4 linked regions of the Stegostoma tigrinum genome follow. The protein of the gene in region 1 purifies or fractionates together with the protein of each later gene. This does not show direct contact. Links are inferred from orthologs where the notes say so. Each region holds a gene or a part of one and is shown on either strand. Other genes may lie near its edges. The genes, in order: dcaf7, protein diaphanous homolog 1-like, cct8 and csnk2b.

What was found.
Region 2: the proteins of dcaf7 (region 1) and protein diaphanous homolog 1-like purify together in Homo sapiens (affinity purification with mass spectrometry; 5 studies listed by BioGRID and IntAct, counting the BioPlex papers as one, with this or other methods). This does not show direct contact. The link is inferred for Stegostoma tigrinum from reciprocal best matches to the Homo sapiens genes DCAF7 and DIAPH1.
Region 3: the proteins of dcaf7 (region 1) and cct8 purify together in Homo sapiens (affinity purification with mass spectrometry; 3 studies listed by BioGRID and IntAct, with this or other methods). This does not show direct contact. The link is inferred for Stegostoma tigrinum from reciprocal best matches to the Homo sapiens genes DCAF7 and CCT8.
Region 4: the proteins of dcaf7 (region 1) and csnk2b purify together in Homo sapiens (affinity purification with mass spectrometry; 4 studies listed by BioGRID and IntAct, with this or other methods). This does not show direct contact. The link is inferred for Stegostoma tigrinum from reciprocal best matches to the Homo sapiens genes DCAF7 and CSNK2B.

What each region holds. Positions count from the first base shown.
Region 1 is NC_081384.1:38,612,637-38,619,826, forward strand, and holds the start of dcaf7 (DDB1- and CUL4-associated factor 7), read left to right. Parts: upstream 1-4,187; 5' UTR 4,188-4,342; coding exon 4,343-4,639; intron 4,640-7,190. UniProt on the Homo sapiens protein: Involved in craniofacial development. Acts upstream of the EDN1 pathway and is required for formation of the upper jaw equivalent, the palatoquadrate. The activity required for EDN1 pathway function differs between the first and second arches.
Region 2 is NC_081366.1:6,063,369-6,070,783, reverse strand, and holds the start of protein diaphanous homolog 1-like, read right to left. Parts: upstream 3,003-7,415; 5' UTR 2,589-3,002; coding exon 2,490-2,588; intron 1-2,489. UniProt on the Homo sapiens protein: Actin nucleation and elongation factor required for the assembly of F-actin structures, such as actin cables and stress fibers. Binds to the barbed end of the actin filament and slows down actin polymerization and depolymerization.
Region 3 is NC_081365.1:60,912,018-60,919,759, reverse strand, and holds the start of cct8 (T-complex protein 1 subunit theta), read right to left. Parts: upstream 3,014-7,742; 5' UTR 2,923-3,013; coding exon 2,863-2,922; intron 1,872-2,862; coding exon 1,781-1,871; intron 1,692-1,780; coding exon 1,612-1,691; intron 238-1,611; coding exon 88-237; intron 1-87. UniProt on the Homo sapiens protein: Component of the chaperonin-containing T-complex (TRiC), a molecular chaperone complex that assists the folding of actin, tubulin and other proteins upon ATP hydrolysis.
Region 4 is NC_081387.1:27,162,021-27,168,859, forward strand, and holds the start of csnk2b (casein kinase II subunit beta), read left to right. Parts: upstream 1-3,822; 5' UTR 3,823-3,993; exon of another isoform or gene 3,994-4,108; intron 4,109-4,139; exon of another isoform or gene 4,140-4,272; intron 4,273-6,839. UniProt on the Homo sapiens protein: Regulatory subunit of casein kinase II/CK2.

The sequences.
Region 1 (7,190 bases):
TGATGTTGGAACCTGCAAGATTTTCAGAACTTGTGTTTCTTAACGCCTGAAGAGAAAAATTTTCTCTTTAAGGTGTTGGATGAGATGAGTGAAATGGAACTGCGGACAGGGACAGTTTTGAGATAACAGTAAACTGATAGAGAGTCAAGAGTGTGCCTACGGTGCTGAGTGGCATTGAACATGGATCTCAGGATGTGGCAGGAGTAGCTGTCTCAGGAGCATTATAGGTTTTGAAGATAGGTGTAATCCTGGGTGGATTCAAAACATGAAGGATGGAACTTCAGTTGGAATATACGTGGGCTAAGATGAAGCCAGCGGCAGTCACTGAAGAAGGATTAATAGTCCAGTGCTGTTACTGCTACACCCTCATCTGATTCCTGTTTTATTATTTATTCCCAAGCCATCAATTTTTTGCCTTAAGTCTTTCCTGTAATATCCTGCCTTTTTCTGCTTACAATAAGGCCACTTATAGTTCTTCTGGATCACTCACCCTACCATCTTACTACTTCAAAACTTTTGCTATCATCCTTTCTGCCAGGACGTGGGTCTCATCCCAGTTCAGATACAATATGTTTGATTGGTGCATCTTCTTTCTGTCCTAGAATTGCTGACGTGGTGCATGAAAAAGTGCCTCTCTTTCCCACACCAGCCAGTTAGCCTCATATTAATTCCCCTGATACATTTGCTCCATCACCAGTCTGAGAGTCTCACAATAATCCATGTGGCCCTTTCTTATTGACTTGTCTTAAATCCCCATGATCCAGCTCCCTATCTCTCACACCTCTCCTTTCCTGATGCTGGGTCTTCTGTGACCATGTTCTGGGCAAAACTGCCCAGAAACTCTGCCACATTCCTTATGTCAAAGTCATCTGATGCCAGAAGCCCACATCTGTGCGGGTTAGAACTGTTCTAATCTCCAAGTGCTATCTCATCTGGTGCATATTCCCTGTTCGGTGCCATCCATCTACATGCTCCCCACTGGGCAGGCACTCCACCGCCAAGCCTCAACCAACACAGGGAGATGCTGTATTGAGACAGCTTCGCTTGTTCTGGAGAACCATACATTGTAGAAACTACAACTGTCTGCTTTTATTGTGGATAATAGTGGATCGTAACCAAGCTTTGAAGTGCTACCATCACTGGCTGAACAGAAATCACCGTGCTAGAATTGCTCCTGGCTTGTTCCCAACAACCAAACTGAATTGACTGGCCACACCGAACCCAAGAGCAGTGGGTCTTCTACAGTCCTGGGTGATGGTTATTGGTTCCTGATGTATCTCCATGAACCAGGATCTACCTGCCACATCAGGTTATGAATAATGAATAAAAGTGAAGTTGGAAAAGCAGAGCAAGTCAGGCAGCATCCTGTCTGAGCTGCTGTGCCTTTCCAGATTCACATCTATTGACTCTGGCTTCCAGTATCTGCAGTCCCTAATGTTTCTAGGTTATGCACAGTGATAGACAATGACAGAACTAACAAGAAGATATAAAAAACCGAAAGAACTATGGATGCTGTAAATCAGGAACAAAAACCAAGTTGCTGGAAAAGCTCTGGCAGCATCTGTGAAGGAAAAAACACAGAGTTAGCATCTCTGATCCGGTGACCCTGATTTCTGAGACATTGAGAGCTGCGTTCTGAGGAAGGGTCACTGGACCAGAAACATTAACTCTGTTTTTTCCTTCACGGGTGCTACTGAGCTTTTCCAGCAACTTTGTTTACTTAACAAGAAGAGATGCTAGGGAAGGTGATATGATAGCAACATTTAAGAGAGATTTAGCCACAGGAACATGCAGGGAATTGAGGGAAATTGATCATGTACAATCAGGTGGGATTTGAATAGCATCATGGTCAGCATGGACATTGTGAGCCAAAGGGCCTGTTCCTCTGCTGTTCTATGTTCTAAAACAAAGTTCCAAAAACCTTCTAAGCTATGATTGAGGCCTGCAAGTGAGAGCAAAAGACAGGTTGAAGAATTTGCTATCATCAGCCACCAGTGCTGAGTGGACAATTCATCTCGCCTTTCTCTGAGATCCCCAATATTATAAATACCAGTTGTCAGCCAATTTAATTCACTTCACGTGAAATCAAGAAACATTTTAATTGACTGGATGCAGCAAAGATTATTGGATCTTACAACAACCTGACTGTAGTAATAAAGAGTCATGTTCCAGATTTGTGAAGACTGGTCAAGCTGTTCCAAAACAGGTACAATACTGGCACTATCTGACAAGGAAGAAAATTGTCCAGTAATTTCTGTCTGCAAAAAACAATGTAAATTGAATCTTGCAATTATTATTCCATCAATCTTCTCTTGGTCATCCACAAACTGATTGAAATTGATTGTTTCTGTAAGTACTTATCCAACGCTAACCTGTTAATAAATGTTGAGTTTTGGTTGTTTGTCCCACCTCGTTACAGATTTGTGTGAAACATAAGGAAAAAAAGTTTCAATTTCAGAAGTGAGGTGAGGTGAGTGAAATTGTCAGTAAAATTAAAATCAGTTGGAACTAGAAAAATCTTTCCACTGCTTGGAGTCATTACTAGCACAAAGGAAGGTGATTGTGCTTGTTGGCCATTTATCCTCAGCCCAAGGAAAGTGCTGTAGAATTTCTATGAGGTAGTGTTCTAACCCCAGCGTCTTCATCGACAGTCATCTCTCCCCAAAAATCAGAAGTGGGCTGTTTTGCACTGTTGAACACCTTAGATACTAAAACATTCTGTGTTTTCATTCAGGTTTGGATGATAGGTGACAGCTAACGTTTATGTCACTTGTATGACTGGCAATGACCATTTCCAACAGAGATTTTCCCATTGCCATTGCCCAGAAATCTGACTGGACTAGCCTTATAGATTCAATGAATATAAGTGTCGCGAATCGTGCAGTCGGTTCTCCTCTACTCCTCAGAACCAGTCCACCATATGAACATAAGACATAGGAGCGGAAGTAAGGCCATTCAGCCCATCGAGTCCACTCCGCTATTTAATCATGGCTGATGGGCATTTCAACTCCACTTCCCTGCACTCTCCCCGTACCTCTTGATTCCTTGTGAGCTCAAGAATTTATCAACGTCTGCCGTGAAGAATTCAATGTCCTGGCCTCCACTGTGCTCCGTGGTAATGAATTCCACAGGCCCACCACTCTCTGGCTGAAGAAATGTCTCATTTCCATTTTAAATTTACCCCATCTAATTTTAAGGCTGTGCCCACGGGTCCTAGTCTCCCTGCCTAACGGAAACAACTTCCTAAATTCCACCCCTTCTAAACCATACATTATCTTGTACGTTTCTATTAGATCTCCCCTCAACCTTCTAAACGCTAATGAGTACAATCCCAGGATCCTCAGCCGTTCATTGTACATTAAACCTACCATTACAGAGATCATCCATGTGAACCATCTACAAGTTAGGAACATAATGGAGAAAGGTTGAGAGAGGGAGCTGACTTGATAGATTGAGACGGTCAAGGCCTGGATGGGCATGTGTGGGGAGGGTGGTGTAACGGTGGGGGTCCCAGTTTGAATAACCACCATCTGACCCAGAATGACCTCTGGGGAATCTCACTCACGGTTTGCTCTCCACAAACTTCCGGAGTGGGTTAGGGCGGGAATTTGGACATTGTATCATGACCATCCACCAACTGTGGGTGTGAGGGTGATGGGGGAGGGCCGCAGTGCATCAAGCCGGGAACCTGCTTTCGATTGGTCCGCACGGCTGTCATTCAATACCGTCTCGGGACACGGAAAGCCCGCCTCCCCTATGATTGGCTTTCTTCGTTGCCCATCAGAGCGTGTAGGGCGCGCGAATCTTTGGTCCCAATGTATAACTGCCCGCTAATTATCTAATCAGCCACTGGGCCTGCGCCTCTCATACTCACTCTGATTGGTGAAACCACTGTCAATCAAGCTGAAGGTCGTGTTTGATGTTCAAAACTCACCCAGCAACGGACAAAAAAAACCGCCTATCAGGTTCCCAGAATTCTTTTGTCCGCACAGCTGTCAATCAAGGACGGGGTCAGCGCCCGCCTCATTGGCTGGTTTCGATTGGGTAGATTCTATGTCACTCATTCGGCGCTTTAACATTTTTACCAATCAAAGCCAAGATATCAAAAGTCGGCCCCCGTCTTTATACTGGACTGGTTATTCGAACGGTCGTTCGGACAAGGACGGGCTGTGATTGGTGAAAGAGGCTGTCAGTCAGCAGTCGGTTTCCGTTGTGACTTTGAGCGGTTTATTGTTGTTGGGCCCGGGCCCAGGGCAGCAGGGCGACGGGGAGAGTGAGAGTGAGCAAGCGAGGCTGGGCCGCGCTGGGCTCCGAGCGCACGGCCTGACATCGCCATCCCAAGATGAGCATGCACGGCAAGAGGAAGGAGATTTATAAGTACGAGGCGCCATGGACCGTGTACGCCATGAACTGGAGCGTGCGGCCCGACAAGCGGTTCCGCCTGGCGCTCGGCTCCTTCGTCGAGGAGTACAACAACAAGGTGCAGATCGTGGGCCTGGACGAGGAGAGCTCCGAGTTCATCGCTCGCAACACCTTCGACCATCCGTATCCCACCACCAAGATCATGTGGATCCCCGACACCAAGGGCGTCTACCCCGACCTGCTCGCCACCTCCGGAGACTATCTACGGGTCTGGAGGGTAAGGAGATGCCGCAGAGTGAGGCCTGTCTGGGGATTTGGGGATGGCGGGAGTAGGGGAAGAGGGGTGATTAGGGAGAGAAGGGATTGGTTCTGGGAATTGGGGTGATGTAGGAAAAGGTGGGTGGGGAATGAGGGGTTTAGGAAGAGAAAGTAATGAAAGTAAATTAGGGAGAGATGAGAGTGCACGATTTAGGGGTGAAGAGTTGAGGGAGAGTACGGTGGAGTGGACAATAAAGTGGTAGTGGAGGAAATGGCTTGGGAGAAGTATAGTACGCAACATTGTGAGCTATTGGGATAAGTATGGCAGTATTTTTTTCCCCTGTACTTGATAGCCTGTGAGCAGTGAGCCAGGTTGGCAGTTGATTAATCTTTTGGTAATGGGGGTAGTTGTTGTATAGGCAGGTTGAACTTCAGTTTAGTTTGAGAAGTGAATATTCTCCATAATGTAGCACCTTCTTGGTTTTCCCCACAGTTGCGTTGTTGGTCATGATGCATGATTAGTGCTTTGTTATTTTATGCCCTGATTTGTCTGAAGTGAAACCAGTAAAGACACAAGAGGCTTTCAGGTCTTGAAGCTTACTGGTACAGTCTGGAGAGCATTAACGTATTTAAAGTTTTTGAGGAGAGTTGTAGCTCGGGTTGTGGATGAGGGGTGTAGGCTTACTTGCCAAGCCGGTGTGTTTGGTTGCAGATGTTTTGTCACCCTGCTAGATAACATTGTCAGTGCATCTCCAATGAAGCGTCGGTGTTCTGAACCACTTGTTGTTTATGTGCCTCGGTTAGATTAGATTCTCTACAGAGTGGAAACAGGCCCTTAGAGCACCCACCCAGACCCATCTTCCTATAACACTCACACCCCTGAACGCTACAGGCAATTTAACATGGCCAATCCACGTAGCCTGCACATCTTTGGACTGTGACATCTTTGGTTGGCATTACTTCCAACTTTGTGTTTCAGTGGTTTGTATATCAGGTCCAGTTCAGTGTGTTTGGAATGCCAGGTCTCCAGGAATCCCCTGGCATGTCTCTGTTTGGCTTGTGCTATTACGGATGTGTTGTCCCAGTTGAATTTGTGCCGCCCTTTGCCCAAGTGTTTTGAGAAAATTAGTCGTTCCTGTTGGTAACACAACACGGCCAGATGTACAGCAAAGACATATCCAAAATTACCACAAGACTGCTCAGACTCCTAGGTATCAGGGTAGCCCACAAACCAACAACCACCCTGCGACATACACTGACGAATGTAAAGTATCCCATACCCACAACCAATAAAACTATTGTAATCCACAAAATACCACACAAGGACTGTGAAAAACATTTACATCAGCCAAACTAGAAGAAAACTGACAATAAGGATACATGAGCACCAACTAGCTACCAAGAGAATTGACCAATTCTCACTGGCCTCAATACACACTGACAAAGAACAGCACGAATTCGACTGGGGCAACACATCCATAATAGCACAAGTCAAACAGAGGCATGGCAGGGAGTTCGTTGAGGCCTGGCATTCCAACCAGAACTCCATCACCAAACACATAGAACTGGATCTGATGTACACACCACTGAAAACAGAATCAGAAGTAATGCCAACCACCCCAGCAAACTGAGGCATACAAATAACAAGCAGGACGGAGTACCAGTGCTTCACTGGAGGCAAGCCGATGATGTTACCTGGCAAGGTGACAAAACTTCTGCAACCAAACACACAAGCTGTGTGAGCAAATTTATATTGTTCATGTGTTTTATGGATAAAATGTTTGTGAATTTTTAGGAGATGTTTTTGTATGAATGTAATCACTGGTGTAGCATTGTTCTAAAGCTCAAGTAGCAAATCAGAGACCAAAAAGACTTTAGTTTGACTCATACGCTGAGTAACATTAGCTGTGCTCAACCAATCAGTCATTGGTATTCTTCTTGTAATCTCATAATCTTATTCAGCGAAGGAAGAGACAGCAGACAGGGTTTCCCATCAGCTTTTTCTTACTGCTCCGTATGGAGTGTGCTGTAAGTTGCTTGTGTTTGGAAATGAATAAGACTGCTCTCTTTTCTGGACATTACAGTCCTCTTGCTCTGGGTTTGTATGTTAAAAAAATTGACCATGTTCTGGGATTTTGGGTATAGAATCTCATCCCAGTGTCAGAAGGATTGAATCGAGTTGTGAATTGGGAGGAATTCCCCCACTGCTTAGAAGAAATTTAGTTGATCGTTGAGTTATCAGTGCAATAAACAAAAGAGCTAAGAGAAATAATGCTACATCCTTGTCGTCTGGACTTCTACAGAAATTGCTTTCCCTGTCTATTTTTTTTCCATCCTTAATATTTATGTCAAGCTATCTGCTTTATGCTTGGATGAATGTGTGAGAGTTAAACAGGTACAGATTATCTTGCCTTGTAGTAAGGTTGTAGTCCCTATTTGTTTGTTTGTGAAAATATTGATTTGTAGTTGTCACGTACTCTGATACAGTGAAAAGTGTTAGTTTGCATGCTATACAGGCAGATCACATCATACAAAGTGCATCAGGATAGTAGAATGAAGTGTCACAGCCG
Region 2 (7,415 bases), on another chromosome or scaffold:
TTAGACCACTTTTGGAATAGTACATTCACTTCTAGTCTCCCTGCTATAGGAAAGATGTTGTTAAGTTTGAAAAGGTTCAGAAAAGATTTACAAGAATATGGCTGGAGTTTGAGGGTTTGAACTCACGGGAGAAGTTGGGGCAATTTTCCCTGGAGCAGAGGCTGAAGGGTAAACTTAAGGAGGTTTATAAAATCAGAGGTCAATGGTTAGGGTGAATACATAAGCTTTTTCCCAGGGTGGGAGAGTCAAAAACTGGACAGCATAGGTTTAAGGTGAGCGGGGCAAGATTTAAAAGGGACCTAAGGGGCAACTTTTTCTTGCACGACTGGTGTACGTATCAAAATAAGCTGCCAGAGGGAGTGGAAACTGGTGCAACCACAACACCTGAAAGGCACATAGATGGGTATATGAATAAGATGGCTTTGGAGGAGCACGGACCAAATGCTGGCAAATGGGACTACATTAGTTTGAATATTTGTCAGCATGGATGGGTTGGGCCAAAGAGTCTGTTTCCGTGCTTTACAACTCTGACTCTAGAATGGCGAAATTAAGTGTTGCAAACATAGCACATACTACACTTACATAGCATCTTTCACAACACCTGAATTCCCTACAGTACTTTGAATTAAATAAACAATTTTCAAATACAGTCAACCTTTAAACAAGGGAAATACTTCCCAGGTGACCCAACTAGCTTTCCAGGTATGAAGACTTGATTTTATATCTTGCCTTAAACAGCTGAATAACAAATTTAGTCATCATCGTTGCGAAAGCAAATCTAGCCAATCTATGCACAGCAAGGACCCACGAGGAGGAATGAGGCAAATGTTCTGAGGAAGGGTCACCGGACCAGAAATGTTAACTGTTTTCTCCTCCACAGATATTGCCAGACCTGCTGAGCTTTTCCAGCAACTTTGTTTTTGTTCCTGATTTACAGCATCCGCAGTTCTTTTTGTTTTTAAACTTATTTTAGGCTTTCATGGGAAGTAGGCATTGCTGACAAGGTCAGCATTTGTTGCTCATCACTCCAAAAGTCCTTGAAAACTGTTTGTCAAAACTCAATCACATTTCTTTGGATCTTAAGCCACACGTGGACCAAAACAGGTAACTCTGGTAGAATTCCTCCTTTAAATGATAGTAGTGAATGAGCTAGATCTTTACAACAATCAATAACTTCACTGTCACTATGAATAAGACCAGCTTAAAAATTCCAGACTTTATTAATAAAGTTTAGATTCCACCAGCTGCTTTGATGGATTCAAGCTCACGTGCTCCAAATGTTTGCTTGAATCTATGTATAACTAGCTCAGCAACATTTCTCTTATGCCAGTATTATCATGTAAAGACAGTTACATTTGAGATAACTATCATGAAAGGCTATGTTTAAAAAAAGAAGAAAATTGAAGGAAGACGAGACCGGGGACTGTGGTGTGAAGGAAGTGAAAATGCAGACCCTCAGAAGCAACACGAACATTGCAGCAGAAAATTTTGTTGTAAAAATTTTCATATATACACAAGCATAACAACGTTTGGAAATCAAAACATGTGGCTAAGTAGACAACTTTGATTAAAAGACATTAACAGGAGAGCACTGATCCAAGATTTGTAGAATCCAGTGTAACAGACAGCTAGCCACATGTCTAGGTGGTGGAATGAACAACTGGCTCCCCACTACCTTTAGCATACGTCACTGCTGGAGCACCTATCTTAAACATGCAAAAACTCAAAACAGGAATGGCCTTTAGCTCCCCTTTTAAATTTGACCGGACCACATGTTTGCACTGTAGGATTGGTACTGAACAGCCATAATACAGCATTGCTAAGTTTAAAAGAACTTCGAGACTTTATTTGTGCAGTTCAAATTCTGTTCCACTCAACATATACAATGCTGAACAAAAATAATTCTCGCTTGCTGATTTGAATTCAGTGCAGTGACCAACGGAAATCTGAGTACGAACGTGCTAAACAAGTTTTAAACTTTGGCGTGACCCAATGACTATGGACGAGAGAGAGTCAGTGTGCTCGGCAACATGACAGGTTGAGCAGAAATGTGTCAATAGCGAAAAAAAAGACTTTCCTTTTGCAAGTGGGAAGTAGTGCCTTCTGCACGCCCATATAGACACATATTATCAACTCAATACTCCCAATAACCTTCCTTCTCGTGAAAAGTGGGGGCAGCCAGAGCGCCAAAAGGACGGCTGCGCCGAACCACCGACACTGCCTCGACAGTGTTCGTGATGAAATCAAGAAAAAGAAATACACAACTGGGGAGAAAATATATAGAGGCAGCGCCTATTTCAGCTCAGGGGTTGTTCTTTGGGACGCCTCTGTGCCCCTTTGAGAGATGGGGGCCTTCAGAGTACCTGCACAGGCAGGTAAGGGCGCTGCTCTCACAACTGTGGTCTTCAGACAAAGGTGAAACCTTCCACACTTTCACAGCTATCCCCCCAAATTAGAAAATAATTCTAAAGGCAAACATAAGAACTCACAAATTTGGTTTTCTTTTCTCCTTCCTCCAGGCTTTTCTTCATTTTACCGGACTTTTCCTTCCCCCTAGAAGGACCTGAAGCCTCATTCCTTCCCTCCATGGTTTTACTTATTTATTGCTCCCGTGGTAAACTTATTTTCTCCTGAAACCTTTCAGTCTCTAATCTCTTGGATCAACGTATCTCATTCGGCTGCTCTTTCAATGCGGAGGGGTGTAGTGGACTGTTCCTGTCCTTCTCTTTCGAAACCCCTCCCACTCTTGCCAAGCGCTGTGAACGGCTGACGGCCAGAGCCCGGGGCCTAGGCGCGGGCTGCCGGCTGCGATTCCTACTCGAGCCCGCTCAGCGGGGAGGGGTGGAGGGTGTGGTGTTGTAAGTCCCTCCCCTCGCCTCACGGTACTTCTTTTTGCCAAAATGGTAATGACATGCCGTTTCCTTCCAGAAAGTGGGCAGAGAGAACAAACGAAGTTAAAATATTCTGTATAAATTGTTGCAGATGGTTGTGTGTGAGAGACCGGGCAGCGTCTGCCCTTGGAGCCACGCTGCTCCCTCAGCGAGCGCCAGCTCGCGGGAGGGGGCGGGGTCGAGGTGGGGGCACAGGGGAGAAAGGCAATGCTGCACTCCTGCGGCAGGCACTGACACAGTATGAAACACAGCCCCTCAACGCCAGGGATAACAAAGTGTACAGCTGGATGAACACAGCAGGCCTGAATTTTTTTCTGAAGAAGGGTCTAGGCTCGAAACGTCAGCCTTCCTGCTCCTTTGATGCTGCTTGGCCTGCTGTGTTCATCCAGCTTTGTTACCACATAGCTTGCCATTACACACCTCCTGTTGTTGGTCACTAACAATCCCCGTTAACAATTATTCACTCTCCCAGCCTGATCGTTAGTAACTCTGTTGTCTGTCCAAGTGTCTTTCTCTCTCTTCTATCCTATCGTTTACTCCCTACCCCACCCACCTCGCGAATTTCTGCATGTAAACTGATGATTTCCCAGCCACCATCAGTTCTGAGGAAGGGTCACTGGACCTGAAACACTAACTCTGTTTTCTTCTTCACAGATGCTTCCAGACCTGCTGAGCTTTCCCAGCAACTTTGTTTTTGTTCCTGATTTACAGCATCTGCAGTTCTTTTGGTTTTTATAAAACAAATACATTTGGTCTCAGGTTAAAAATCTTAACACTTCAAGGAGTCAAAGGACAATAAAACTGCATAACCTTGTCTGTATCAGATGCTTTCTCTTTTAAAGTTATGTCATGCTGTATGTATTTGATGTGCTTTTATTATATTTTTAATTTCAAAATGTCTTTTTTTCTTACATTCAAGTAAACATTGTAATTGGCTTCTTCATTTTGATCGATGTAATCGCATTTTAAATGACACTTCATATAGCTGTGTGGCGGCATGATGGCTCAGTGGTTAACACTGCAGTCTCACAGCACCAGGGACCCAGGTTCAATTCCAGCCTCGGGTAACTGTCTGTGTGGAGTTTGCACCTTCTCCCCGTGTGCGTGGGTTTCCTCTGGGTGCTCCGGCTTTCTTCCACAGTACAAAGATGTGCAGGCTAGATGGATCAGCCATGCTAAATTGCCCGTAGTGTTTAGGGGTGTATGGGTTATAGGGGGATGGGTCTGGGTGGGATGCTTCAAGGGGAGGTGTGGACTTGTTGGGCCGAAGGGCCTGTTTCCACACCGTAGGGAATCTAAAAAACTTTTAAAAATTTTTTTGAAATTGATAGAGAGAAAGTTAAAAAGGAGATAGTGGGAACTGCAGATGCTGGAGAATCCAAGATAATAAAGTGTGAAGCAGGATGAACACAGCAGGCCAAGCAGCATCTCAGGAGCACAAAAGCTGACGTTTCGGGCCTAGACCCTTCATCAGAGAGGAGGATGGGGTGAGGGTTCTGGAATAAATAGGGAGAGAGGGGGAGGCGGACCGAAGATGGAGAGAAAAGAAGATAGGTGGAGAAGAGAGTATAGGTAGGGAGGGGATAGGTCAGTCCAGGGAAGACGGACAGGTCAAGGAGGTGGGATGTGGTTAGTAGGTAGGAAATGGAGTTGCGGCTTGGGGTGCAAGGAAGGGATGCGTGAGAGGAAGAACAGATTAGGGAGGCAGAGACAGGCTGGGCTGGTTTTGGGATGCAGTGGGAGAAGGGGAAGAGCTGGGCTGGTTGTGTGATGCAGTGGGGGGAGGGGACGAACTGGGCTGGTTTTGGGATGTGGTGGGGGAAGGGGAGATTTTGAGCCTGGTGAAGTATACATTGATACCATTAGGGCTGCAGTGTTCCCAAGCGGAATATGAGTTGCTGTTCCTGCAAACTTCGGGTGGCATCATTGTGGCACTGCAGGAGGCCCATGATGGACATGTCATGTAAAGAATGGGAGGGGGAGTTAAAATGGTTCGTGACTGGGAGGTGCAGTTGTTTATTGCGAACCAAGCGGAGGTGCTCTGCAAAGCGGTCCCCAAGTCTCCGCTTGGTTTCCCCAATGTAGAGGAAGCCACACCGGGTACAATGGATACAGTATACCACATTGGCAGATGTGCAGGTGAACCTCTGCTTAATATGGAAAGTCATCTTGGGGCCTGGGATAGGGGTGAGGGAGGAGGTGTGGGGGCAAGTGTAGCATTTCCTGTGGTTGCAGGGGAAGGTGCCGTGTGTAGTGGGGTTGGAGGGCAGTGTGGACTGAACAAGGGAGTCATGGAGAAAGTGGTCTCTCCGGAAAGCAGACAAGGGTGGGGATGGAAAAATGTCTTGGGTGGTGGTGTTGGATTGTAGATGGCGGAAGTGTCGGAGGATGATGCGTTGTATCCCGAGGTTGGTGGGGTGGTGTGTGAGAACGAGGGGGATCCTCTTTGGGCAGTTGTGGCATGAGGGATGTGTTGCGGGAGACGCAGTCAAGGGCGTTCTCGACCACTGCGGTGGAGGAAGTTGCGGTCCTTGAAGAACTTGGACATCTGGGATGTGCGGGAGTGGAATGCCTCATCGTGGGAGCAGATGCGGCGGAGGCGGAGGAATTGGGAATAGGGGATAGAATTTTTGCAGGAGGGTGGGTGGGAGGGAGGAGGTGTATTCTAGGTAGCTGTGGGAGTCGGTGGGCTTGAAATGGACATCAGTTACAAGCTGGTTGCCTGAGATGGAGGCTGAGAGGTCCAGGAAGGTGAGGGATGTGCTGGAGATGGCCCAGGTGAACTGAAGGTTGGGGTGGAAGGTGTTGGTGAAGTGGATGAACTGTTCGAGCTCCTCTGGGGAGCCAGAGGCGGCGCCGATACAGTCATCAATGTAACGGAGGAAGAGGTGGGGTTTGGGGCCTGTGTAGGTGCGGAAGAGGGACTGTTCCACGTAACCTACAAAGAGGCAGGCATAGCTGGGGCCCATGCAGGTGCCCGTGGCCACCCCCTTTGTAGGATGTGGGAGGAATCGAAAGAGAAGTTGCTGCTTTACTCTTCCTCTCTTGGTTGTAACAGTAAGTAAATCTTTCTTTCAAAGCAAAAGCAACATGCAGCAGATGGTTTTCAGCCTGGTACTCTCAAGCTCTGTGTAATAGTTCTGCAGCTTATGATTTTCAAATTCTTTGCAATCGGTTTTTCTAGTAAAAGCTTGCAGCTCTACTTGCATTACTCCTTGCCTTTTAGCCTTCCTCTTTTAAACTCTCCATCATTTCTTACAGCTTATCATTGGCGTCCAGTCATTCAATGATACAGTGTTGGGCTAAATATGCGCTTCGCCAATTTGCTGTCTGAGCTCAATACTGTCATTCTTTACTTTGTCAAGTGCTTCTATTTGAAAAATGTGCCATTGAAGTTTTGCCTTGAAGTTTCAGGATCTCCCTCTCGAATGTCTTGTCTGTTGGCTGTACAGCTTGCAGATTCACTTCCATATCCTGTTTTTCAGATTGCAACATTATATCGTGCTAGGCCTTCGAGCTTTCTGGGGTGGCAACTTTATTCTCTCGTTTTAGCTTTTCACCCTTTAAAGTATTTCCATTTCATTTTGAAAGTTTATGGAAAACTTCTTATATAAATAGCAGATAAATTCTAAACCAACTCTTTCCTTTTCAGTCCTGGAGTATCTTTTCATATTGGCCTTGAACAGTTAAATATCTATCAGCAACCTACTCACTTGGTTTTGAATGAATCACAGTTTTTTGCTTAGATTAATATTTATGTGAATCAAAACCTTTTCAAAAAGCAACCACCTCATCAAAGAAGCATCACATTTAAGAGACATCTGAATGAGTACTTAAAACGTCAGGGCATATTAGGCTATGGACCAAATGCAGGTAAATAGGATTTGTATAATTTGTTGGTCTGTATACACATGGTGGGCCGAAGGGCCTGCCACTATGTTCCGTGACTCTATGACTCAAAATTCTCCCTGATTCATTTGTGCTACTTCTTTAGGAGGGTGCTCTTCAAAGGATATGCTACCTTAGTTCAGTTGGTTGTAGAGCTGGTTTGCGATGCAAACTGATGGCAGTGGCATGTGCTCAATTTCTGCACCAATTGACATTACTGTGAAGGACTCTCCTTCTCAACATCTCGACTGAAGTGTGGTGACCCTCAGGTTAAATAACTTCTGACCGTCTCTGTCATGCGCCTTTTCACTCTGCAAATTTCTCTTTTAAGTAGCTCATGCACTTTTTGTGCTCCTCTAGGGCTGTTTTGAGCCCTTGATATCCACTTAAATCTTCCCTTTCTCTTTATCCAGCACTGAAAAATTCACTGATATCCAGGGATCTCTGGAATATTTGGCCCCGCTATTCACTTTACAGGAACACGTAGGTCCCACACTTTCAACGTTTCCTCATTTCCCTTGGCGCTGATGTAAATTTTTCAATACATAGCCATTTCCGGTTCACATTGGGCCATTCATAGAACATAGAACATAGAACAGTACAGCACAGAAGAGGCACTTCAGCGCACGATGTTGT
Region 3 (7,742 bases), on another chromosome or scaffold:
CTGGCCAGCAGCATCAATATCCCAGGAATTAAAAAAAACACACGCCAAAACTGAAATGAAAGCAAAACTTTTTTGAAATCTACCAACCTCTGAAACTGAAAGACCCATTCGCAGAAGTTCCTCAGCTAGCTCCAGTAGTGCGCCAGAAAAAACTAGAACAAAATTTGTTCCATCTCCAACCTCTTGTTCCTGCATATGGGAAGCCATTACCACCATCTTTGCAGCAGGATGTTGAACCTGCATCCAGTAAGTACAAGAATTAAAACAAATTAGCAAAAAGTAGAACAAAAATTCTTGATGCATTTAATTGTTTACAATAACAATTTCCATGCTGTGGGCAAGTATTAAGACTGGTTCAAATGACTATAGTTACTGCTACAGAAAAACATCTAAAAGGATGTTTTGATGCTCATCTCAAAACGTATAGATGAATTTTCACAACTTTTATTTACAGTACCTAAGTAGGCTTTTCAAGGAGCTTCACAAATATATTGATATTAGGATAGGAAAACTAAAAGTGTCTTCAAATAGATAAGTTTTAAAGCACATTGGCAAAGAGAAGATAGATGCTCAGAGAGTTCAAAGGAAGGTTTTCAAAAACTTACAACCCAAACAGCAGAAGGCTCAACAGTTAAAAGGGGATCAAAAATTAGGATTACACAAAAGGCAGAGCTGATTAAGATGCTGCAGGGGAGTGGTCATGTAAGATGAATTGAGATGAGAATTTTATACGAGTGGCAAAAGGAAATCTATTTATCATAGGTAAAGGGATACACAAAATACACAAATTTTAAGCAAGGCTGAAGATCAATTTGCTTCAAACCAGAGCTAAGTTAATTCCAAATCAATTGATACTTACCTATTTAAAAGTTTAGATCTAAACATAAGAAAACAAAATTACCAACATTTGACTTTCTCTCTAAGCAAAGAAAGGAATGTAAATTTGTGTACCCTAAAAAGGAGATCACTGATGGGATTGAGGGTTGGGTTTGAACCGCATTTCCATATACTCTTCTGAATGGAATGCAATGAAAATATGCATCAGCTCAGTGAATATCACTAATATTAAAAAGTAAACATCCAAACTTACAAAAACTTTTATTTAAAAAAAACACAATCTTGTCACCCAGCCTTTGAAAGAATTATCATTTTCTCTGGCTCTCTAGCCTTCAATTAAGAAAGCTTTACTTTGCAAGTCAAGAGCTGATACTAATATTGGTATATCAAACTGGACTGAGGTGGTATTGAGGCTTAGTCAGTGAAAGCACATGCCTTGTAAATAAGAGATAACTAAGAGTTTCAATGTTAGTGGCAGTTTTCAGCCCAAAGAGCCTGAGAATGAACAGAACTGTTGTGGCACAGTCTTAATATCCCTGCCTCTGAGCTAGGAGGCCTGGGTCAATATGTATACACAAACATTTCTGTACAGGTTGCACACAAAATATTGAAACTGGATTGCTAATGCCTCTAATGGTGCAGTGGCAGAACTCCTACTTCTGGACCTAGATTCAAGTTCTACCTGCATCAGAGGTGAGCAATAAGACCTCAGAGGAGTTGATTAGAAAATATCTTGAAACTGGATTGTTAGAAGTGAAGTGACTCAGCACCTACCTCCAATTCTCGTAGTATAGTAGCAGCATCACTGGTAACAAAAAGTTTCTCCACATGATTGATGACCATTTTATTCATTCCTAAAAGGAAGATTTTTAACAAATAAACACCAGTAGTAAAACTGAAACAAAACACTTGCTCCAAATTATGAGAGGCAATATAATTGTACCATTTGGACCATAAGCTGTACGGGTAGTCTGAGCCAGTTCCTTGCAAGCTTGAATATTCCTGTAAACTGCCTCCTCCAAACCTGAAAAATGCTGAAATGTAAATGAATACAGATAAATAACAATTCCAACTTGCAGAATTACGATTTACATTCGCAGCAAAGGGGATGCGGGGGGGGATGTGGATCGGCGAGTGGATGGCGGACTGGGGGCAGGGTGGGGGGAGTGGATGGCGGCAGGGTGGGGGGAGTGGATGGCGGCAGGGTGGGGGGAGTGGATGGCGGCAGGGTGGGGGGAGTGGATGGCGGACTGGGGGCAGGGTGGGGGGAGTGGATGGCGGACTGGGGGCAGGGTGGGGGGAGTGGATGGCGGACTGGGGGCAGGGTGGGGGGAGTGGATGGCGGACTGGGGGCAGGGTGGGGGGAGTGGATGGCGGACTGGGGGCAGGGTGGGGGGAGTGGATGGCGGACTGGGGGCAGGGTGGGGGGAGTGGATGGCGGACTGGGGGCAGGGTGGGGGGAGTGGATGGCGGACTGGGGGCAGGGTGGGGGGAGTGGATCGCGGACTGGGGGCAGGGTGGGGGGAGTGGATCGCGGACTGGGGACAGGGTGGGGGGAGTGGATCGCGGACTGGGGACAGGGTGGGGGGAGTGGATCGCGGACTGGGGACAGGGTGGGGGGAGTGGATCGCGGACTGGGGACAGGGTGGGGGGAGTGGATGGCGGACTGGGGAACAGTTTGGGGGCAGATTAAAGACAGGGACAGCGTGGATTAGGCACTCTGAGTGGGGGGGCGGGGGAGGCCCGGCATCTCCATCGTTCCACCTCCCGACACTAGGCCTCTGACCGCCCCGAACACATGGAGGTCGAAGATAGTCTCAAGCCTCGGTATACAGTGGGTTCGAGCAGAGTGCCTGGACCAGTGAAAATAGGGAGGTTCGCGGCGGGAATCCGTCGGCCGCCGCCGATGCTTCTCGGCCTTTCTGGAACTTTCTGACATCACGCGCTCCCCTTTCAACGACCGAAACATCCCTCAATCCGAGTCCCTGATGTCCCTTCCACGGGCTCTCCGTTTCACAAACTTACCTTAGCTCCGTCTTTTAGCATCTGAGCCAAGCCCGGCGCTCGAGGGATGTGCATCGCCATTTCCAGATACTTTTCCTCGCTCAAACCCCAGCCAACAGGATCACAACGCCGGAGACGAACACCCACAGTGCACCGCAGCCGTGCCCTACGTCCCAGCTGTCACCGCGCCCTGTCGTGCCCTTCCTCCCAGCTGTCACCGCGCCCAGTAATGTTGTGAAGGAATTCTCATTGCCAGAAGTTGGTATTTTACGTTGTTTTAAGCCTTACTCGCCTAATTTTCTGTGCTTAACCTGTGAGGATACCGAAGCAAAGTAAAACATCACTCTAGCTTTCACTTTCCTTTGGCTATGAATAATTCTTTGACCTTACATTCATTTCATGCATCAAGTTGAACTGAGTAATGTCTGTGCAATTATCCTCTCCAAGTTAGCTGTTAACTATTGGCGTCTGTTGGCACTTCTCAGTTTTCCAAATGTGCAACATACTTGAGAGAAGGTGCTGGTACATCGAACCTCTCCCCTGTAGTCATATTTATCAAAACTGTAACAATAACCCATTAAAATACCCCAATGCGTTTTACAGGGGTGTGGACAGACAAATGATCAATGTGAGGTATTAGATCAAGCGGCCGTAAGTTTGATGAAACAAGTAGGCTTTAATGAATGTCTTTACAACTCTTGCCGTCTCTCAATGGCCCAAGACCATAAGAATCTGTTCTGCCATTCATTAAGATCATGACAGATCTAATATCCTCAACTCCACTTTCCTGTCTTTTCACCATAACTTTTGATTCCTTTGTTGATTATAAGATTGGAGCCTCAATGGTACTTACTGCTAACCACTACCAAAGACTACATTAACTGGATAATGAATTAAACAGAATTGCTTTTCTACTTCGGACATACAGGATGGGTTGATTGGCCACCTGTTTTCTATGATTTATATATTTCTTAAACTCAGAAAATGAGGCAGAGAACTTCAGTGAGCCAAGTTCAAAACTTAGGATGGACAGCTGAAGGCATGCCCACTAACAGAGTGTGGATGGCCAGAATTATAGGTGCACAGAGGGAAGGAAGTGGTGAGATCATAGAGGGATTTAAAAACTTGGATGAATTTTTTAAAATGTTTTTTTTATAATCAGAGGCCAGTGTGGACCAATAAGCATGGGCAAGCATTGTGGGTCATGGGAAGTCAGTCGGGATATTTTGGTAAGGTAAGGAAACAACGATAAGCATTGTTGTCAGGAATCCAGAGAACACTGGCTCTAGTTTTCGGCTTATATAGAGAGGAATATTAAACAAGACGTGCTGCTCAGATGTTTTTATCACTAAAGTAGACCTTATATATTTTCCCGCAAACTGAACTAGGACCTACTTCTACACCCACTAGAGTCATCTGACATTCCCCAAGTAGTGACAGAATATGAAAGCTAATACCTGACCAGGATAGCTGCGACAGCTGATGAGAGCTGACATCAGCCATGTGCTGCATTCGATGTCATTACCATGTCCTATTTTGAGATACTACATTTAATTCCCTCATCTAAATCATTAATTTGTATCGTGAATAGCTGGGATCGTAGTTCTGATCTGGGTAGTCTCTGCCTGCCATTTAGAAAAAGAGCTATTTATTTGTCCTCTTTATTTTCTTTTGGTCTGCTAACCATTTTTTCTATCAATCTCATTACACCACCCCTAATCCCATGTGCTTTAATAATGTGGAACTTTATCAAAAGCCTTCTGAAAGTCCAAATAAACCACGTCCACTGGCTCTGCTGATCAAATCTACTGGTTACACCCTCAAGGAATTCCACTAAACTTATCATGCATGATATGCCTTTTGTAAATCCCCGCTGACTGTGTCTGATAATCCCACTGTTTTCTAAGTGCTCTGCTATAAAATCCTGGATAATAGATTTTAGCATCTTCATCACTACTGACATCAGACCTGTTGGTGTATAATTCCCTGTTTTCTCTTCGCCTGTCGTTTTAAATGGTGGAGCTGCATTAGCTACCCTGTGATTTATAGGAGCTGTTCCAGAGTCTAAAGAATCTTGGAAGGTGACCACCAATGCACCCACTATTTCTCGGTCCAGTTCCTTTAAACCTTTCAGATGTAGATTATCAGACCCTGGGGATTTTTCAGCCTTCCATCTGATCAATTTCAACAACAGCATTTCTCTACTAATACAGATTTTCTTCAGTTCTTCCCTCTCACTAAACCACATGTTCTCCATCATTTGAGGTACATAATTCATTTTTGATGTTTCGTGGGGATTTTATACATTTTGCGATGGCTGTTGAATGGCAGGGTACAATTTCAGCAAACTATTCCCAGTGAAGTCATGAAAAAAGTGAATAGAAAAACTGTGGCATGTGGATTTCAATGCAGGCAAATGTGAGATTTTCTTCGGACCTAATGGATAGAACAGACTACTTTCCAAATTGAAACAGGTGACAAATGCTGAAGGTCCAAAGGAACTTGGAGTCCAGGTACATGGATTTTTAAAATATGCTGGATGGGTACAGAAAATAGTCAAAAAGGCTAAGGGAATGCTGGTATTTATATCCGGAAGAATTGAATGCTAGAGTGTAGAAATTAAGCTGCAGCTTTACCCAGTTCAGACTGCACCTGGAGGACTATAAGCTGTGCTGGGTACCATAGTTTAGGAAGAATATTCTAACTTTAGAAGGAGTGCATGATAGATTTACCAAAATGATGCCTGGACTCAAAAGGTTAAATTGGAGGAAGCACTGAGGGTGGCAAGGGAATAGGCTGTATTCTGGTTGGGGGACTTTAATGATCCATAAACAAGAGTGGCTCTAAAACACCAGACTAACCAAGGTAGCCAAACCCTAAAGGACTGGGCCTTTGGTAGGTGATGAAGGGACCGACAAGAAGGGAAAACACACTTGACCTCAGCCTCACCAATCTACCCACCATAAGTGCATGAATCCATGACAGTATTGGCAGGAGACACCAGTGGACAGTCATTGTGAAGTTGAAGTCTTCACATTGAAGGTATCCTTCATGGTGTTGTGTGACACGATCATCATGGTAAATGGGATAGAATTCACACTGATCTAGCAATTCAAGATTGGGCATCTAAGAGATACTGTGGGCCACAGCAGCATCGGAATTGTATTCAACCATAATTTGTAATTTTGAGAAGCTGGTAGTGAGCTGGCTTCTTGCATCACTGCAATTCATGTAGTGTATGGAGGGAGTTTGGGATTCTGATCCATGATGCCATAAGATATAAGACCAAAATTAGGCGATTCAGCCCTTCTACTCCATCATGGCTGATGTATTTCTCAATCCTATTCTTCTGTTTTCTCCCCACAACCTCTGATCCTACCAATCAAGAACTTACCTATCTCTGTCTTAACATCACTCAATGACTTGGCCTCCACAGACTACTGAGACAATGAGTTCCACAGACTCACCACTCTCTGGTTGAAGAAAAAACTCCTCATTTTAGCTCTAAAAGGTCACCCATTCACTCTGAGGAAAAACTCAGTGGATCTGGCAGCATCTGTCAAGAGAAAGTAGAGTTAATGTTTTGGGATCAGTGACCTTTCTCTTTTAGCTTGGAAAAGGTTGGTTTGTGTATTGAAGATAGGGTGAGGGAGGGAGGAGGAGTAAATGATAGATAAAGATGGAGCCCAGAGAGAAAAAAATAGTTGGGTAGACACAGGAATCGGCAAAGGTCAGCCTGGGAGAATGTACAACTGCTAATGGGGACCATTTGTAGCTCGCAATTGAATGTTTGTGGTATCAGCTCATGAGATGACAAGGCCTGAAGTGTGGGGGTCGGCCTAAGGACATGGGAGAAGGTGGTCAAGACCTAAAATTATTGAACTTGATGTTGAGTCCCGAAGTTTCCAGAGTCCCAAAGTGGAAAATGAAATGCTATTCTTTCAGCTTGCACTGACCGCCTACCACAGTCTAACAGCTATGTCCTTCCAGGTTTGGCTGGCTTGGTCAGTCTGCTGCTACAGAGCCATTCTTGTTTAAGGACTATTAAAGTCCACCAAGCAGATTAAAGTCTGTGCTTTTTCCACCTTTCGTACTTCCTCCAATTTAACCCTGAACTTTGCTGGAGCACTGCAGCAAGCCTGAAACAGAGATGTTGGCTAGGGAACATGGTGGTGGGTTGAAGTGGCTTACAGCAGGAAGCTCAGGATTGTTTTTGCGGACAGAACGTAAGTGTTCTGCAAAGCATTTGCCCAGTCTGTGTTTTGTGTCCTCAATGTAGAACAGACCACATTATGAGTAGCAAATACAGTAGACTGTGGACATTAAAGGCCCCAAATGGTCTGAGGTTGGGCATTCTTCGGTGAATATCTCACTTCCCACAAAAACTGTTCACCATCTATTTAGTACAAGTTAGGAATGTGATTGAATGTTTCACTGCTCACTATGCGGTCTGCTGTACATTGGGAGGATGAAATGCAGACTGAGTAACTTCTTGGCAGAACAGATTTGCTTTGCGTTTAGTGACAGATTTCTGATCAAAATGAAAGTAGTGGCAGGAAGAGTGAAAATTGGTATAAAAGCATTCTGGCTAGTAATTGAATAAAACAGCATGAATTTGTATTCCTAATCACTAGTAGTGACCCTGTATGGAAAATAGAGATTGTGTAAAAGCAGAATTGAGCCTCAGCCCTCGTCATCCCTGCAGTTAATAAGTTATGACACTCAGTTTCTATGCTTTCAGATGAAGAATGATCACATGGACAAATCACCAAAGGGTTTCTGTTCTCTTTCTAACTTCATATGGCTTAACTTAGCATCTTAAGGGCAGAAATGAGGACAAATATTGATAAATGCATATTATTTTCTTTTAATTTGTGCATAAAGTTATTGATTTCTTTTGT
Region 4 (6,839 bases), on another chromosome or scaffold:
CAGGAACAGGCCCCTCGGCCCCTCCAAAACGCACTGATCCAGATCCTCTAAGCCTGTCAGCTATTTTACAAGGATCTGTATCCCTCTACTTCCTGCTCATTCATGTATCTGTCTAGACACATCTTAAAAGACGCTAACGTGTCTGCGTCTACCACCTCCACTGGCAACGTGTACCAGGCACCCACCACCCTCTGTGTAAAGAACTTTCCACGCATATCTCCCTTAAAAACTTTCCTCCTCTCACTTTGAACTCATGACCCCTTGTAATTGAGTTCCCCACTCTGGGAAAAAGCTTCTTGCTATCCACCCTGTCTATACCCCTCATGATTTTGTAGACCTCAATCAGGTCCCTACTCAATCTCCGTCTTTCTAATGAAAATAATCCTAATCTACTCAACCTCACTTCATAGCTAGCACCCTCCATACCAGGCAACATCCTGGTGAACCTCCTCTGCACCCTCTCCAAAGCATCCACATCCTTTTGGTAATGTGACGACCAGAACTGTACACAGTACTCCAAATGTGGCCGAATCAAAGTCCTATACAACTGCAACATGACCTGCCAACTCTTGTACTCAATACCCTGCCCAATGAAGGAAAGCATGCCATATGCCTTCCTGACCACCCTATTTACTTGCATTGTCACCTTCAGGGAACAATGGACCTGAACACCCAGATCTCTCTGTTCATCCATTTTCCCGAGGACTTTTCCATTTACTGTATAGTTCACTCTTGAATTAGATCTTCCAAAATGCATCACCTCGCATTTGCCCGGATTGAACTCCATCTGCCATTTATCTGCCCAACTCTCCAGTCTATCTATATTCTGCTGTAATTTCTGACAGTCCCGTTCACTATCAGCTACTCCACCAATCTTAGTGTCATCAGCAAACTTGCTGATCAGACCACCTACACCTTCCTCCAAATCATTTACATATATCACAAACAACAGTGGTCCCAGCACAGATCCCTGTGGAACACCACTGGTTACAGGTCTCCAATTTGAGACACCCCCTTCCACTATAAATGTGTCTGATAGGGACAACGTAGAGAGAGAACTTTACTCTGTATCTAACCCCATGCTGTAGCTGTCCCAGGAGTGTTTATTGGGGGATGACTGTGAATCCATTGTCAATTGTTGGGAAAAACCCATCTGGCTCACTAATGCCGTTTAGGGAAGGAAACTGCCAGCCTTACCTAGTCTGGCCTACACGTGACTCCAGACCCACAGCAATGTGGTTGACTCTAAACTGACCTCTAGGCAATTAGGGATGGACTATAAATATGGCTGAGCCAGCGACACCCACATTCAATGAATAAAAAAAATTTAAAAGCCACGCAACAGCAAAACACTCAAATAGCAAAGAAACAAAACCTGGAAGTGCCTGGGAAAGTCACTTTCTGTTTTTATTTCAGCTTCAACTATATAACTTCCAGGAAATATCTTCAAAATAAAACCAGAAAAAATCCCAAAGCCTTTTGAGTGATCTATTTACAGAAGGGGAAAGCCCAGGTGTCACTTCTGCATTACAGATGGACCAATCCTTCAGACACAGGCACTCAAAATGAACCTCAACAGCGCAAGTGCCTTCATACCACCACCTGATTGTCTCTAAGGGGGAGATGCCGTGTTGAGCATGATCAGATCATTAATCCTGGTTTTCCAATGCCTCCGCGGCACCTCCCCTCATTCTGTAATTGCCCCCAGACTCACAACCCTCCAAATACATGCTCCTCTCAGCCTGATCTGTTGGTCATTCTCACACAGTACCACACCAGGGCCATGCCTTCAGATTCCCAGGCAGCAAACTCTAGCTTTGGAATTGCACTCTCCTTGCCTTCCCACCTTACTTTCCTCATCCCAAACCGGCCTCTCTCACCAAACTTCCATCGTTGTAATCTAAATTCTCCTCACATGGCCAGATGACCCGGCTTTGTTTCATCTGCTTCCCCCAAATACTCAGGCAGTCCATCAGAACCAGGGTAACTTGTCTGAACTGGTTCCAAGGTGTTAGGCTCGTCAGTCCCACACTCAGCTGTCCTTACACAGTCTGATCTGAACAGGGGGAAACCAGACCCACAGCCAATTGTTTTGGAGGGAGCGAGGCGGCATACTTAACACTGAAAATGGCCCAGACTGCAGACCCACAGCAATGTGGCTGACTCTTAGCTGCCCTCCAGGCCATTAGGGATGGGAAACAGAGATAATGGGAACTGCAGAAAAAGGGTCTGAAGAACGGTCTATGCCTGAAACGTCAGCTTTTGCGCTCCTGAGGTGCTGCTTGGCCTGCTGTGTTCATCCAGCCCCACACTTTGTTATCAGCGATGGGAAATAAATGCTCCCTAGGCAGTGACACCCACATGAAGAGACCAAGGATGGGCATGTGAGGTGGGGGTGGGGGGCGTGACGATGAGGTGAAATGGGTGATGACCAGGAGGTTAGGTTGGCTGTTACGAGCCAGGTTAAGGTGCTTGGCGAAACAGTCACCAAGTGTACATTTGGTCTCACCAACAGAGAGAAGGCCACATCGAGAGCACTGAATGCATAGACTAGGTTGTGGGAGATACAGGTGAAGCTCTGTCTCACCTGGAAGGACCGTCTGGGGCCACAGTGGGAGTGGTTTGTGGGCAGGTGTTGCATCTATTACAGTTACAAGGGAAGGTATTGGGTCGGAGGGGTTGGTGGGTAAGGGTGACTGGAAGTCGGTCATGTCTGGGGCGGGGCGGGGGTTAGGGAAGATCGGAAGTGGGTCATGCCGTGGTGGGGGGGGGTTGAGGAAGTGTGACCGGAAGTGGTTCATGCCATGGTGGGGGGGGGTGTTGAGGAAGTGTGACCGGAAGTGGGTCATGCTGTGGTGGGGAGGGAGGGGGTTGAGGAAGTGTGACTGGAAGTGGGTCATGCCATGGTGGCGGGGGAGTTGAGGAAGTGTGACCGGAAGTGGGTCATGCCATGGTGGGGGGGGGGTGTTGAGGAAGTGTGACCGGAAGTGGGTCATGCCATGGTGGGGGGGGGTGTTGAGGAAGTGTGACCGGAAGTGGGTCATGCTGTGGTGGGGGGGTTGAGGAAGTGTGACCGGAAGTGGGTCATGCCATGGTGGGGAGGGAGGGGGTTGAGGAAGTGTGACTGGAACTGGGTTATGCCATGGTGGGGGGGGGGGGTGTTGAGGAAGTGTGACCAGAAGTGGGTCATGCTGTGGTGGGGGGGGGGTGTTGAGGAAGTGTGACCAGAAGTGGGTCATGCTGTGGTGGGGGGGGGGGCGGATGAGCAAGTGTGACTGGAAGTGGGTCATGCCGTGGTGGGGCGGGGTTGAGGAAGGGTGACCGGAAGTGGGTGGTGCCTGCGGGGAGGGGGTGACCGGAAGTGGGTCGTGCCTGCGGGGAGCGGGGTGACCGGAAGTGGGTCGTGCCTGGGTGCGTGGAGGGGCAGGAAATGAGGAGAAACCCTGGGGATAGGGCGGAGGGACACACAATAATAATGAAAGCCGGCAGATCGGTAACACACGAAACAACTACTCCCCTGACCGGTACATCTTAACGGACTTCTTTCACTCCCACCTCCCCTCATAGAGAAAGCAAACATACGCCCTGCACCCCCGTCCCCCAGATGGGAAAATACACGCGGTTTTACACAGTTAGAGATGTAACACCTACAAGGTAACCGTGGTTAGCCTCTGTGAGTGGGCCGCACGGCGGGGGCGGGGCTAAGGCTAGGCGTCAGCAAGGGAAGGGGGCGTGGCTAGTGTGGGGGCGGGAAGCACTGCGACGTCAGACTTACGTGGGCGGGGCGTGGAATGGGCGGGGTCAGAGCATGTCACGTGGTGTTCCCCGCCCCGCCGAGACCAATCAGAGAGGGCGCCGGGCCGGACGGATCCGTTGATTGGGCTCCGCTCGTCCTTCTGCGCGTTTCCTTTTCGCTCTCGACCGGCGGCTATTATTTTTGACAGCCAGCCCTTTTGTTTAAAAAAAAGAAAACCGCTCGATCCTATTCGATCGGTAACTATTTAACGCGGCGGCCTGAGCGCTTCCGACTACCTCTGTCGTGCGCGGAATCGACGAGCGTTGCGCGGGCGGCTTGGTCCTGCGGCGCGCTGCCTGACGGTAAATGTAGTCGCGGGGTTTGATGGCGGTGCACCCGGAAGTGACGCATTCTCTCCCCACCCCCTTCCGCCCCCATTCTCGGGAAGTCGGGCCACGTTTGATGGTGGGTCTTTCCCCCTCGCTCCTCACATCGACTGAAATCCCACGCACGGCCTACAGGCTGCCGAGCCCGAGGTTAGACATCACCGCCCTTATCGCCTGGTTTGTTTCAATGCGGTGTTTTGTTGCTGTGAGCTTCTCCCCCCCTCCCCCATCCCCCCTCCCTCTCTGGGGTAGAGGCCAGGTATGGCTGGTTCTGCTGTTGCATGTCACAAGGAGGAGGACGAGAGATCTTCTGCACGTCGCTCCATGTTTTATGATGAGCCTGCAGGTTGGGGGGCTGGGGCTTAGTGGGGTTTAGTGGGTAGTGGGGTTTAGTGGGTAGTGGGGTTTAGTGGGGCGTAGTGGGGTTTAGTGGGTAGTGGGGTTTAGTGGGTAGTGGGGTTTAGTGGGTAGTGGGGCGTAGTGGGGTTTAGTGGGTAGTGGGGTTTAGTGGGGCGTAGTGGGGTTTAGTGGGTAGTGGGGCGTAGTGGGGTTTAGTGGGTAGTGGGGTTTAGTGGGTAGTGGGGTTTAGTGGGTAGTGGGGCGTAGTGGGGTTTAGTGGGTAGTGGGGCGTAGTGGGGTCTAGTGAGTAGTGGGGCGTAGTGGGGTTCAGTGGGGCGTAGTGGGGTTTAGTGGGTAGTGGGGTTTAGTGGGTAGTGGGGCGTAGTGGGGTCTAGTGAGTAGTGGGGCGTAGTGGGGTTCAGTGGGGCAGTGGGGTGTAGTGGGGTTTAGTGGGTAGTGGGGTTTAGTGGGTAGTGGGGTTTAGTGGGTAGTGGGGCGTAGTGGGGTGTAGTGGGGTTTAGTGGGTAGTGGGGTGTAGTGGGGCGTAGTGGGGTGTAGTGGGGTTTAGTGGGTAGTGGGGGGTAGTGGGGTTTAGTGGGTAGTGGGGGGTAGTGGGGTTTAGTGGGTAGTGGGGCGTAGTGGGGTTTAGTGGGTAGTGGGGCGTAGTGGGGTTTAGTGGGTAGTGGGGCGTAGTGGGGTTTAGTGGGTAGTGGGGCGTAGTGGGGTTTAGTGGGTAGTGGGGCGTAGTGGGGTTTAGTGGGTAGTGGGGCGTAGTGGGGTTTAGTGGGTAGTGGGGCTCAGTGGGGCGTAGTGCGGTTTAGTGCGTAGTGGGGCTCAGTGGGGTTTAGTGGGTAGTGGGGCGTAGTGCGGTTTAGTGCGTAGTGGGGCTCAGTGGGGTTTAGTGGGTAGTGGGGCTCAGTGGGGCGTAGTGGGGTGTAGTGGGGTTTAGTGGGTAGTGGGGTTTAGTGGGGCGTGGGGTTTAGTGGGGCGTAGTGGGTAGTGGGGCGTAGTGGGTAGTGGGGCGTAGTGGGGCGTAGTGGGTAGTGGGGCGTAGTGGGGCGTAGTGGGTAGTGGGGCGTAGTGGGGTGTAGTGGGGCGTAGTGGGGTTTAGTGGGTAGTGGGGCGTAGTGGGGTTTAGTGGGTAGTGGGGCGTAGTGGGGTTTAGTGGGTAGTGGGGCGTAGTGGGGTTTAGTGGGTAGTGGGGCGTAGTGGGGTGTAGTGGGGTTTAGTGGGTAGTGGGGTTTAGTGGGTAGTGGGGTTTAGTGGGTAGTGGGGTGTAGTGGGGTTTAGTGGGGCGTAGTGGGGTTTAGTGGGGCGTAGTGGGGTTTAGTGGGTAGTGGGGTGTAGTGGGGTTTAGTGGGGCGTAGTGGGGTTTAGTGGGTAGTGGGGTTTAGTGGGTAGTGGGGTTTAGTGGGTAGTGGGGTTTAGTGGGTAGTGGGGTTTAGTGGGTAGTGGGGCGTAGTGGGGTTTAGTGGGTAGTGGGGCGTAGTGGGGTCTAGTGAGTAGTGGGGCGTAGTGGGGTTTAGTGGGTAGTGGGGTTTAGTGGGTAGTGGGGCGTAGTGGGGTCTAGTGAGTAGTGGGGCGTAGTGGGGTTCAGTGGGGCAGTGGGGTTCAGTGGGGCAGTGGGGTGTAGTGGGGTTCAGTGGGGCGTAGTGGGGTTTAGTGGGTAGTGGGGTTTAGTGGGTAGTGGGGCGTAGTGGGGTGTAGTGGGGTTTAGTGGGTAGTGGGGTGTAGTGGGGCGTAGTGGGGGGTAGTGGGGTTTAGTGGGTAGTGGGGGGTAGTGGGGTTTAGTGGGTAGTGGGGCGTAGTGGGGTTTAGTGGGTAGTGGGGCGTAGTGGGGTTTAGTGGGTAGTGGGGCGTAGTGGGGTTTAGTGGGTAGTGGGGCGTAGTGGGGTTTAGTGGGTAGTGGGGCGTAGTGGGGTTTAGTGGGTAGTGGGGCGTAGTGGGGCTCAGTGGGGCGTAGTGCGGTTTAGTGGGGTTTAGTGGGTAGTGGGGCGTAGTGCGGTTTAGTGCGTAGTGGGGCTCAGTGGGGTTTAGTGGGTAGTGGGGCTCAGTGGGGCGTAGTGGGGTGTAGTGGGGTTTAGTGGGTAGTGGGGTTTAGTGGGTAGTGGGGTTTAGTGGGTAGTGGGGTTTAGTGGGGCGTGGGGTTTAGTGGGGCGTGGGGTTTAGTGGGGCGTGGGGTTTAGTGGGGCGTAGTGGGTAGTGGGGCGTAGTGGGTAGTGGGGCGTAGTGGGTAGTGGGGCGTAGTGGGTAGTGGGGCGTAGTGGGGCGTAGTGGGGTTTAGTGGGTAGTGGGGCGTAGTGGGGTTTAGTGGGTAGTGGGGCGTAGTGGGGTTTAGTGGGTAGTGGGGCGTAGTGGGGTTTAGTGGGTAGTGGGGC